Mus musculus: one gene and its partners. The protein of the gene in region 3 binds, or shares a complex with, the protein of the main gene of each other region. Links are inferred from orthologs where the notes say so. Each region holds a gene or a part of one and is shown on either strand. Other genes may lie near its edges.

Region 1 (2,940 bases), on a different chromosome or scaffold from region 3:
TGCCGTTTTATTTACTACCTGTAACATTTCACATTACTTGTGGACATTCTCCTCAAATATGTGTCTGGCTGGTCCAAGTGTGATTTGGAGGAGAATCACGTGCCTGGATCTATAAGGTGCAATGCTTTATAAATAATCCTTCTTACACAGAGTTATTTAGTGTGACTTCCTGATAGATACAATGAGTGTTTTTAATACAAAAATATATTTCACATAATAAAAAGGCATCAAAACAATGATTACATTTTATATAAGTTAAATGACAGTTTTTTCTTTTCTGTTGTCTGAATTAAACTAGAAAGCTCTATCACAACCTTTAACTTTTTGTTAAGTTAAATATTCCATTATAAAAAATAACTAGCATAGAAAGAATTTAAAATATGCAAAAGTAGTAAGTTTGTTGAAATTTACACTTCATACATTGATATCAATCAAGAAATTACTAAGGACTAACATGAAAGTAAAAGAAACCTGCTTTAGGCTTCAGTTATTGCTACCTGATGACTATTTCATAGGCCATCTGGCCTGTCGTCATCTCAAGAGTGTTAAATACAGTGGTGTACTTTGTAAGGAAGGAGAAAAAGAATGCACTGTGATACAAAAATATTATCTATTTATATATTAGCAAAGATTTATAAAACACATTCCAAATCATATGTTGCTATGGAAACAACAGACTTAAATAGAGAAGCATAAAGTCCTAAAGCACCCGCAATTATTTTAATCAGAAAAAATGATATATTTATATGTGTGTATATATATATATAGATACATGAAATTTGAGAAGAAATAAAGGCAAAATTCTAAATTTAATCAAACAGTTTGTATGTAATCATGGAGGTAGGTCTTCATTCCATTTATACAAATAAGTTATCAGCTTTATTCAAAGAATTATAAGTCTAGAATCTTGAAACTGGTCTTCCTTACTGAGATACATTTTTAAACAGACTTCAAAACCAGTGTTCTCACTAGCATCCACACAACGCAGGTCTCTCCTTCATTCTCGTCATCTATGAGGAGTAGGGCTAAGCGCAGATGCTTTGGCTTAACAGTTAAGGTACACAGTAAATACTGTAAATTGTAAGTTAGAAATATTTCCTCTTAGTTCTTATAATAAGCATAAAGCTATAAAAATGATGATTCCTTAAATTTTTAGGAACTTAAATACTGTGCTAATGATTTTTAAAAATCATTCCTACCTAAAAAGCAAAATTATATATTTCAATTATCAAACATTTAGTGTTGGTGGCATTTCCGTTTTAGTGCTGGGATTCGTTTTAACCGATCAGTTTGCAAGATACAGCACAGTACACGGTTTCACTCAGAAAGGTTTTCTAGAATGAAAAATGCTAACTCTATTTCTAGTGGCAGACTAGAGTTGGAGGTCCCGCCGTGGATCACAGGGATCAGGGCACTATCCAGATCATTCAGGTAATGCTGAGGCAGAAGCTGGCCTTCACAGCCTGCCTGGAACTCAACCTGGAAAAAAAAGAAATCTTGATAAAGGTAACCCTAGAAAATTAGCCCTCTTGTGTTGCTTGGCAGCCGAATATGTAGCATTTTTTGAATATTCAGCTTAAAGCTATGAGTAAAATAAAGTTATTTTCAAAAATTTATTTTCCCATTTCTTTTATCTCTTTACTACATAAATTATAACATTATAAATATTGTCACTACTTTATATTTTAGATTTCCTTCCAACTAAACACATATGTAAATGATATCTGAAGCTTTAATATAATTAACAATGCAACTTAATTTGAATTAAAAATGAATTGAAAAATCAACATACCGTGTTTCAAATTGTTGCAGTACTATGTTCTGTGTGAGATGTATATGCAGTGTGTGTATATGTGCATGTGTGTATGCAGTTGTGTGTATATGTGCATGTGTGTATGCAGTGTGTGTATATGTGCATGTGTGTATGCAGTGTGTGTATATGTGCATGTGTGTATGCAGTGTGTGTATATGTGCATGTGTGTATGCAGTACTATATGTTCTGTGTGAGATGTATATGCAGTGTGTGTATATGTGCATGTGTGTATGCAGTGTGTGTATATGTGCATGTGTGTATGCAGTTGTGTGTATATGTGCATGTGTGTATGCAGTACTATATGTTCTGTGTGAGATGTATATGCAGTGTGTGTATATGTGCATGTGTGTATGCAGTGTGTGTATATGTGCATGTGTGTATGCAGTGTGTGTATATGTGCATGTGTGTATGCAGTGTGTGTATATGTGCATGTGTGTATGCAGTACTATATGTTCTGTGTGAGATGTATATGCAGTGTGTGTATATGTGCATGTGTGTATGCAGTGTGTGTATATGTGCATGTGTGTATGCAGTTGTGTGTATATGTGCATGTGTGTATGCAGTACTATATGTTCTGTGTGAGATGTATATGCAGTGTGTGTATATGTGCATGTGTGTATGCAGTGTGTGTATATGTGCATGTGTGTATGCAGTTGTGTGTATATGTGCATGTGTGTATGCAGTACTATATGTTCTGTGTGAGATGTATATGCAGTGTGTGTATATGTGCATGTGTGTATGCAGTGTGTGTATATGTGCATGTGTGTATGCAGTGTGTGTATATGTGCATGTGTGTATGCAGTGTGTGTATATGTGCATGTGTGTATGCAGTGTGTGTATATGTGCATGTGTGTATGCAGTACTATATGTTCTGTGTGAGATGTATATGCAGTGTGTGTATATGTGCATGTGTGTATGCAGTGTGTGTATATGTGCATGTGTGTATGCAGTACTATGTTCTGTGTGAGATGTATATGTGCATGTGTGTATGCAGTGTGTATATGTGCATGTGTGTATGCAGTGTGTGTATATGTGCATGTGTGTATGCAGTGTGTGTATATGTGCATGTGTGTATGCAGTTGTGTGTATATGTGCATGTGTGTATGCAGTGTGTGTATATGTGCATG
Region 2 (3,659 bases), on a different chromosome or scaffold from region 3:
AAACAAAACAAAACAAAACAAAACAGTACACTATAACTCATGATCAGCAATAATCAGTACACTGCCTTTTGTCTGCACCTCTGTTTCATTTTTAACACTTTGGAGGTATTGGTGTACACACCTGTGTGTGCCTCTGTGTGTGTGTGTGTGTGTGTGACAGAGAGAGAGAGAGACAGAGAGAGAGAGAGAGAGAGAGAGAGAGAGAGAGAGAGAGAGAGAGAGAGCACAAGTGAGCACTTATAGAAGCTTATGAACATAGATGTTCTTCTTGCCTGTATGGATGTAGAGGCCAAAGGTCAACATTTTATCACTTCCTCGGTGATCTCTACACTTTTTTTCCTCAAGTCACAATTTTAATAATCCCTGTAAGAAACACCCCTTCAGAGAAAGGAACAATGCACCATCTAGAAGGAAACTGCTGCCAGAATTTGCTCTTTCGAGCTAGATTGGCTTATCAGCAGTCCTTTGGAATCTGCTTATATGTACTGTCCACAGCACTGGGGTTACAGTTTTATGCCACCATGCTCCAGCTTGTGCCTCTCTAGTCTTTTATATAAGTGCTACAGCTAAATTTAGGTCTTCATGCTTACACAAAGGGGTACCTTTGTCCACTGAGCCATTTCCCCAGATGACGGCTGCTGCTGCTGCTGCTTCTTCCTCTTCTTCTTCTTCTTCCTCTTCCTCTTTCTCCTCCCCCTCTTCCTTTTCTTTTTCCTCCTCCTCTTCTTCTTCCTCTTCCTCCTTTTTCCTCCCTCTCTTCCTTTTTTCCTCCTTCTCTTCCTCGTCTTCCTCCTCTCCTTCCTCCTCTTTTTCTTCCTTCTCTTCCTTCTTCTCTTCCTTCTTCTCTTCCTCTTCCTCCTCTTCTTTCTCCTCCTTACTCTTCCTCCTCCTTCTTCATAGGGTCTTCTATATTGCCCAGGTTAGCTTCAAACTCAGAATATAGCCAAAGATGACCTTGAACTTCTGACCTTCCAGCTTCCTACTTCCTGCCTTCACCTCCCTAGGAATATAGGTATTTGCCAGCACACTCAGTTTCTGCAGCACAGGATGTCATACTGAGGGCTTAGTGAATGCTAGGCACTGTAATAACTGAGCAAATCTCTAGGCCCATTTTTTTTTTTTTAAAGTTTTTTCGCGGGGCGTGGTGGCACACGCCTTTAATCCCAGCACTGGGGAGGCAGAGACAGGCAGATTTCTGAGTTCAAGGCCAGCCTGGTCTACAGAGCGAGTTCCAGGACAGCCAGGACTACACAGAGAAACCCTGTCTCGAATTAAAAAAAAACAAAACAAAACAAAAAAAAAACCCAAAAAAAAAGTTTTTTCAGATAAACTTTATATTCACGAAAAGACCTAAATTTTATTACACAGAGTTAGTGGTTTGTTTGTTTTTGTTTTTGTCTGTTTTGAGACAATCTCACTTTGCTTCCAAGATGGCTTGAAATCATTGACTCAGTTGTTCTTTCACTTCAGGCTCCCAAGACTACAAGGTTTACTGTATAGATTTAGCAAATGGAGGTATCCATGTAACCCACACCCCAATCATGTAGACTAGAGAGCATTTAATCTCCATAGAAAAATTCTCACTCAGTTACTAGTCTCCACTACTGTTCATTGTCTGTGCCTTGTCTTATACACAGACAATCCAAAGTTCCTTTCCCATTCCTGGGTATATAGGTCAATTTAATTGTGTTATTATTTATCTCAATCTAATAACACAATTAAATTGACATAAAATTCATTTGTTGTTTGTTTTTTAAGACAGGATTTCTTTGTGTAGCTCTGGCTGTTCTGGAACTCACAGAGATCCCCCTGCCTTTGGCTCCTGAGTGCTGAGATTAAAGACATGCACAACCACTGCCCAACTTTGTTATTTGAAATGTTCTGAGGCATTACCATTTGTCGACAGATAATTATAGGGCATTGTCTTAAATGTATTTTTCTTATGTCTAGCTAAAGATTAGATACTGTCATATTCTGGGGACATTTTCTTCAAAGCACAGCTGGAAATATTTGTCAGGTAGCCCTAAGTAGCTTTTACTGTTACCAACAAACTTACTATAATTACTTTTTTTTTTCCTTCAGATGAAACAGTTTCTCCTACTTTATTGGATACAAAGTGGAATAAGATTTTAGATCCCTCTTCTCACCCATTGTCTTTTAACCCTGCATTAGCCAGTGTGAATGAACCTACAGTTTCTGAGACAGGACCACAGCTGAAAGTCTTCTCTCTGGCTGGCTCAGCTCCCCTTACAAAGGAGGACAAAGATCCCTGTGCTAACGGACAGGACTGTAGTCTAAATCCAGAGACTGACACCATGTGGATTGATGAAAATGCTGTGACAGAAGACCAACTAATTAAGAGAAACTATAATCAGGATGATCAATTTAGTGCCGTTGAAGTGGGAGAGGAGAAATGTGGAAGCCTCACTTGTCTGCCAGACGAGAAGAATGTTCTGGTTGTAGCTGTCATGCATAACTGCGATAAAAGGACATTGCAAAGCGATTTGCAGGATTGTAATAATTACAATAGTCAATCCCTCATGAATTCTTTTAGTTGTTCACTGGATAATGAGACTAGACAAACTGATCAATTTAGTTTTAGTATGAATGGGTCCACGGAAAAAGGTATAAACTCGGAGAAACAAATGGATGCTTTGAATAAACCAAAACCAGAGAGGGATTCTGTGAATCATCTCTGTGCGGCTTCATCTAACAGTGCAACCAGTATCTCTTCCCCTTCACAATTGAAGGACGGTGAGAATGTGGGTAGAGACCCATCTACATCTACAGTTACAAGCTTAGCAGTTAATTCATCCCAGGGAATGGATGGAGGGCCTGCCATTAAACAGCAAGGAAATTATATGCCAGATGAGGATCTTTCTGGCATGAACAGCTCTTCCAGGACAGACCTAGGGATCTCCAACTCCTTTTCCCACTCAAGTGGAGAGCTCTTAATAAAAACAGAGCCAGCTGAGGAGAGGACAGCTGAAGACTCCCTCCCATCTGATTTATCTTTGAATCTCAAGCCGGATACTCCTGCTTTATCTGGAAGGGACAATTGCGAACAGTCTTCAGACTGCCTTGGGTCTAGTGAAACTAGAGCTGATGAAGATGAAGGTAATGACTCTCAGATGACTAATTGGAAATTAACGAAGCTAAATGAGATGAGTGATAGCCAAGTGAATGAAGAAAATCAAATGGCTTTACAGAGTAATCAACCTGAGGACACTAATAGTGGAGGCGAGTGTGTTGGAATGGCAGATTCTGATCTAGATTTCAAAGGAACTTGCATGAATGAGAGTGAAGGATATGATTTCTCCACTGTTAATGATGCACCAGCAGCAAATTCTCTATCTAATAGTTGTGATTCCTATGGAATGCAGAGCCCAATTGTATCTTTTGTTCCAAAGACATTACCCTCCAAAGAAGATTCAGTAACAGAAGAAAAAGAAATAGAAGAGAGCAAGTCAGAATGCTATTCAAATATTTATGAACAGAGAGGAAACGAGAATGCAGAAGGGAGTGGACTGCTTTTAAACAGCACTGGGAATGTAATGAAGAAAAATTATTTACATAATTTCTGTAGTCAAATCCCATCAGTACTTGGGCAATCTTCCCCCAAGATAGCAAACCTGCAATCTATTAGTGTTCCTTTTGGT
Region 3 (3,659 bases):
CACTATCAACATTTTGAGGTATAGTCATCTGGTTTTCCCCCCTTTTTGGTCTGTATATTTATTTGCATATCATATGCTTTTACAGAAATTAGATCACACTATATTCATCTGTTACTTTTTTTTTTTTTGCCTAGTAGCATGTCATTGAAATGTTAGTATATCCCGAGCAACCTTTGTCTTTAGTTTAGCTGTGGACTGTTTTCTTGTGTGAGTAGCCTTGACATAATCCATGTAAACAGCCTCCTTTAATGGAAAGTCTTGTGGCATCCAGGGCTTTAATCTGACAGTGCTATGAAAGTGGTTTAGTATGCACATTCAAGGATTTTTTTCTTTGTCTTGGATATCTGGCCTCCCACACATCATTTTTTGATGCAGGGTCTCGTGTAACTCAGGCTGACTTCAAACTTGCTTTGTAGCCAAGAATGGCCTTAAACAACTGTTGCTCCTATCCCTGCCTCCTGGTTCTGGGATGCAGCTGTGCATCTTCCTGCCCCACCGACCTGGATGTCTCTAACTATATAGTTTCAGATGAAGAACTTCGGATCAAGCTGGAGCAATGTCTCAGCACTTGAGAGCACAGCTATTCTTCTAAAGGACTCAGTTTCAATTCCCAGCACTCACATGGCAGCTTACAGCCATATATAACTCCAGTTCCACGGAAGCCAAGTCCCTCTTTTGGTCTCCACAGACACCAGACATGCATGTGGTGCACATATATGTAGTCCAAACACCTATACACATGAAATAATTTTTTTAAAGTAAAAAGTTAAATACAGTAAAAAAATTCAAAGCACATTACAGAGTGTCTTCTAGAAATGTGGGACAGACTTTGGCTGCCAGGATGGTATATCCAATAACTGTGGGCATAGAGAGGGCTTTCTTTGCAATTCTAATGATGGTGAGCCTTTTTCTTCCATCCTACTTCCCAGAATGCTATTCGCGTTGCCCGGGACTTTGAGGGCTGCAGTGTTCTTCGAAAGTACCTTGGCCAGCTACACTACCTACAGAGTCGGGTGCCCATGGGCTCAGGCCAGGAGGCTGCTGTAGCTGTCACCTGGTGAGCACTGGTAGACTGGGCTGGGCAGATGAGAACTTAGAAGGTGTGAACTTGGACAGCTGGGATGCCTGGGTGATAGGCTTGATCCTTTCCCCCTCTCTTCTCTCCTTGCTGCACAAGATGGGGAATGGGTTAGTGTGATCTCCCATAGATGCCTGTCTCATACCGGGGTGGTTGGTCCCCTCCCCTGACCCTTGGGCCCAGGCCAGCTCTTACCATCTGTGTGACTCTGAGATGACTGGCATGTCTGCAGGACTGAGATCTTCTCGGGCAAGTCTGTGTCCCATGAAGACATCAAGTACGAGCAGGCCTGTATTCTCTACAACCTCGGTGAGCTGCTTGGTCCTTCCATGGCCTCCTCCAAGCCCTCCCAGCCCAGGGTCTTAGTTCATTAGGTCAGATGGCCAAAACAGCCATGAGTGGATGAAAGAAAGGTGCCTGGGTTGTAACCTCTCCCCCACCTCTACCACAGCACACAGGCACTTCTGCTGATTTCTGGGTCACTGGCATGTCGCTGTTTAAAGGGTTGCTCTGCTGGGCTGACTGTCACAAGCGTTGTCGCTGTGTACTTACTCCAGTAGGGAGTCATGGCCTCTTTTGTCTGAGAGTATCACCCCTACCCCCCAAATTAACGGCTTTCAGATTGCTTCAGGGAGGGAGGTCAAAGCTGGCCTTAGACTGCCCTTCAAGTCAGCTGTGCTGTTGGCTGAGGGAAAGAATGGGGGCTCTTCCCTGCTTTACCCCCAGTCAGGTGCATAACCGGAGAAAAGATTTGGCTAGGTTTGTGATTGTTCTTCCTCGGGAATCCTTGCACTGACCGCCCAGGTCTCAGACCTGTTTCTCTGACTGAATGACAGCAGTGCCCCTCGACTTCAGCCTCAGCACACGAGTGGGCGGCCTGGGAAGCATCCCCAGGCTCTTGTAACCGAGTGTCCCCTGCCTCTCTAGGTGCACTGCACTCCATGCTGGGGGCTATGGACAAGCGGGTGTCTGAGGAGGTGAGGCTTGGGGACAGCGTGGGCTCAGCCGCCAGAGTTTGCTTCCTGCCTTACGGAAGTGGCATCTTTCACCTCTTCCCTCCCAGGGCATGAAAGTCTCCTGCACCCACTTCCAGTGTGCAGCAGGCGCCTTTGCCTACCTGCGTGAACACTTCCCACAGGCCTTCAGTGTGGACATGAGTCGCCAGATCCTTACGCTCAATGTCAACCTCATGCTGGTGAGCAGGGGGGGCCCTGGTGGAGCCAGATTGCTCTTGTTTCTGTTTTGAAATAGAGTCTTATTCTGTAGCTCAGGCTGGTCTGAAACTTGCTGTGTAGTCCATGCTTTCTTCAAAATCATGGCCAGTCGTCTTGCCTCTGTCTTTTTGGGGTTAATCATGAGCCACCGCCCCTAACTTTAAGTTAAATTGGAGAAGAAATGACTAAGGGAGGAGGCAGTTCCAGCTAGATCATGGGCCAGCCATGTGCCTGTAGTAAGGGACAGGCAGGAAAGAGGCCCTAGTGTTGGGTCTTTTGAGTTTCAGGAAGATCTGGCAGTGTGTTAATTTTGGGGGAGACTAGAGGAGAGGAGATATTTTGGTCTGTCCCTTGGCTCCCAGGAAGGAAAGGACCTTCAGGTGACCTGCACTTGTTGCTCCAGGGCCAGGCTCAGGAGTGCCTGTTGGAGAAGTCCATGTTGGACAACCGGAAGAGCTTTCTAGTGGCCCGCATCAGCGCACAGGTAGGAAGAGGGCTGAGGCCCGCATCAGCGCACAGGTTGCTTTGCCCCTGGTCCTCGATAACTGGACTCATTCCAACTCCTAGGTGGTAGATTACTATAAGGAGGCATGCCGGGCCTTGGAAAACCCTGATACTGCCTCCCTGCTGGGCCGTATCCAGAAAGACTGGAAGAAACTTGTCCAAATGAAGATCTACTACTTTGCGGCTGTGGCTCATGTATGGTGAGGGGTTGCTGGGTGTGGAGTGAGCCCGATGGCTGTAGCCTAGGAGACAAGTGTGATGCCTATTCCTTTTTGCCCAGCTACACATGGGGAAGCAGGCTGAGGAGCAACAGAAATTTGGGGAACGGGTGAGTGGACTGTGGGTAAGGGGTGCACTGAGGATCTGTTCTGGGCTTTTATGATCGTCTTTACATCATATTGGAGCTGGTCCTCTCTGTCCCCATCCTTGTTTTCCTCCTTACACCATGTGCCAAGCCATCACCACCTTGCAGCCCTTGTTTGTAAGGGTCTCAGGAGGTATGGTGGGGTCCCCACAGGGAGGGTAGCCCTTTGGGAGCTACAGTGGAGCTGTTTGGGGGCTGTTGGCTTGGCTGGCATCTGCTACCTGAGGGGCTGGTCTTATGGTCAGTGATGCTATCATCAGGTAGGATGAATTAGGGACATGGAACATTAGGGCCCGAGCAGGAAAGGACAGACCAGGTTTTGCCCTCCACAGGTGGCCTACTTCCAGAGTGCCCTGGACAAGCTTAATGAAGCCATCAAGTTGGCCAAGGTAAAGCTGAACACATGTGGCTGCTCTTCAGAGCCATGGAGGCAGAGCTAGCTGACCTGACAGATCTCAGCACTGGCCTTGGTTATTTCTTATCTCTGCTCCACAGGGCC

Evidence for each region. Proteins that work in one complex are often made in the same cells at the same time.
Region 1: the proteins of Ptpn23 (region 3) and Zfyve16 are in contact, whole or in part, in a crystal structure (PDB 5MK0), measured with the Homo sapiens proteins. The link is inferred for Mus musculus from reciprocal best matches to the Homo sapiens genes PTPN23 and ZFYVE16. Residues at the interface, in NP_056281.1 of Homo sapiens: Phe62, His125, Glu137, Glu138, Lys141, Val142, Cys144, Thr145, His146, Gln148, Cys149, Leu189, Lys192, Ser193, Asp196, Arg198, Lys199, Phe201, Leu202, Arg205, Ile206, Ala336, Leu338, Leu342, Asp348, Ala350, Val351; in NP_001098721.2 of Homo sapiens: Asp2, Tyr4, Phe5, Ala8, Val9, Leu12, Asp13, Leu15, Leu16, Asp17, Phe19, Glu20, Gln21.
Region 2: the proteins of Ptpn23 (region 3) and Zfyve9 are in contact, whole or in part, in a crystal structure (PDB 5MJY), measured with the Homo sapiens proteins. The link is inferred for Mus musculus from reciprocal best matches to the Homo sapiens genes PTPN23 and ZFYVE9. Residues at the interface, in NP_056281.1 of Homo sapiens: Phe62, His125, Glu137, Lys141, Val142, Cys144, Thr145, His146, Gln148, Cys149, Leu189, Lys192, Ser193, Asp196, Arg198, Lys199, Leu202, Arg205, Ile206, Ala336, Leu338, Leu342, Asp348, Ala350, Val351; in NP_004790.2 of Homo sapiens: Glu2, Tyr4, Phe5, Gln6, Glu8, Ala9, Leu12, Asp13, Val15, Leu16, Asp17, Phe19, Glu20.

The regions. Positions count from the first base shown.
Region 1 is NC_000079.6:92,487,145-92,490,084, forward strand, and holds the end of Zfyve16 (zinc finger FYVE domain-containing protein 16), read right to left. Parts: intron 1,480-2,940; coding exon 1,318-1,479; 3' UTR 605-1,317; downstream 1-604.
Region 2 is NC_000070.6:108,718,236-108,721,894, reverse strand, and holds part of Zfyve9 (zinc finger FYVE domain-containing protein 9), read left to right. Parts: intron 1-2,082; coding exon 2,083-3,659. UniProt on the Homo sapiens protein: Early endosomal protein that functions to recruit SMAD2/SMAD3 to intracellular membranes and to the TGF-beta receptor.
Region 3 is NC_000075.6:110,391,099-110,394,757, reverse strand, and holds part of Ptpn23 (tyrosine-protein phosphatase non-receptor type 23), read left to right. Parts: intron 1-929; coding exon 930-1,057; intron 1,058-1,310; coding exon 1,311-1,387; intron 1,388-2,005; coding exon 2,006-2,055; intron 2,056-2,141; coding exon 2,142-2,273; intron 2,274-2,654; exon of another isoform or gene 2,655-2,695; coding exon 2,696-2,776; intron 2,777-2,859; coding exon 2,860-2,991; intron 2,992-3,076; coding exon 3,077-3,124; intron 3,125-3,492; coding exon 3,493-3,549; intron 3,550-3,655; coding exon 3,656-3,659. UniProt on the Homo sapiens protein: Plays a role in sorting of endocytic ubiquitinated cargos into multivesicular bodies (MVBs) via its interaction with the ESCRT-I complex (endosomal sorting complex required for transport I), and possibly also other ESCRT complexes.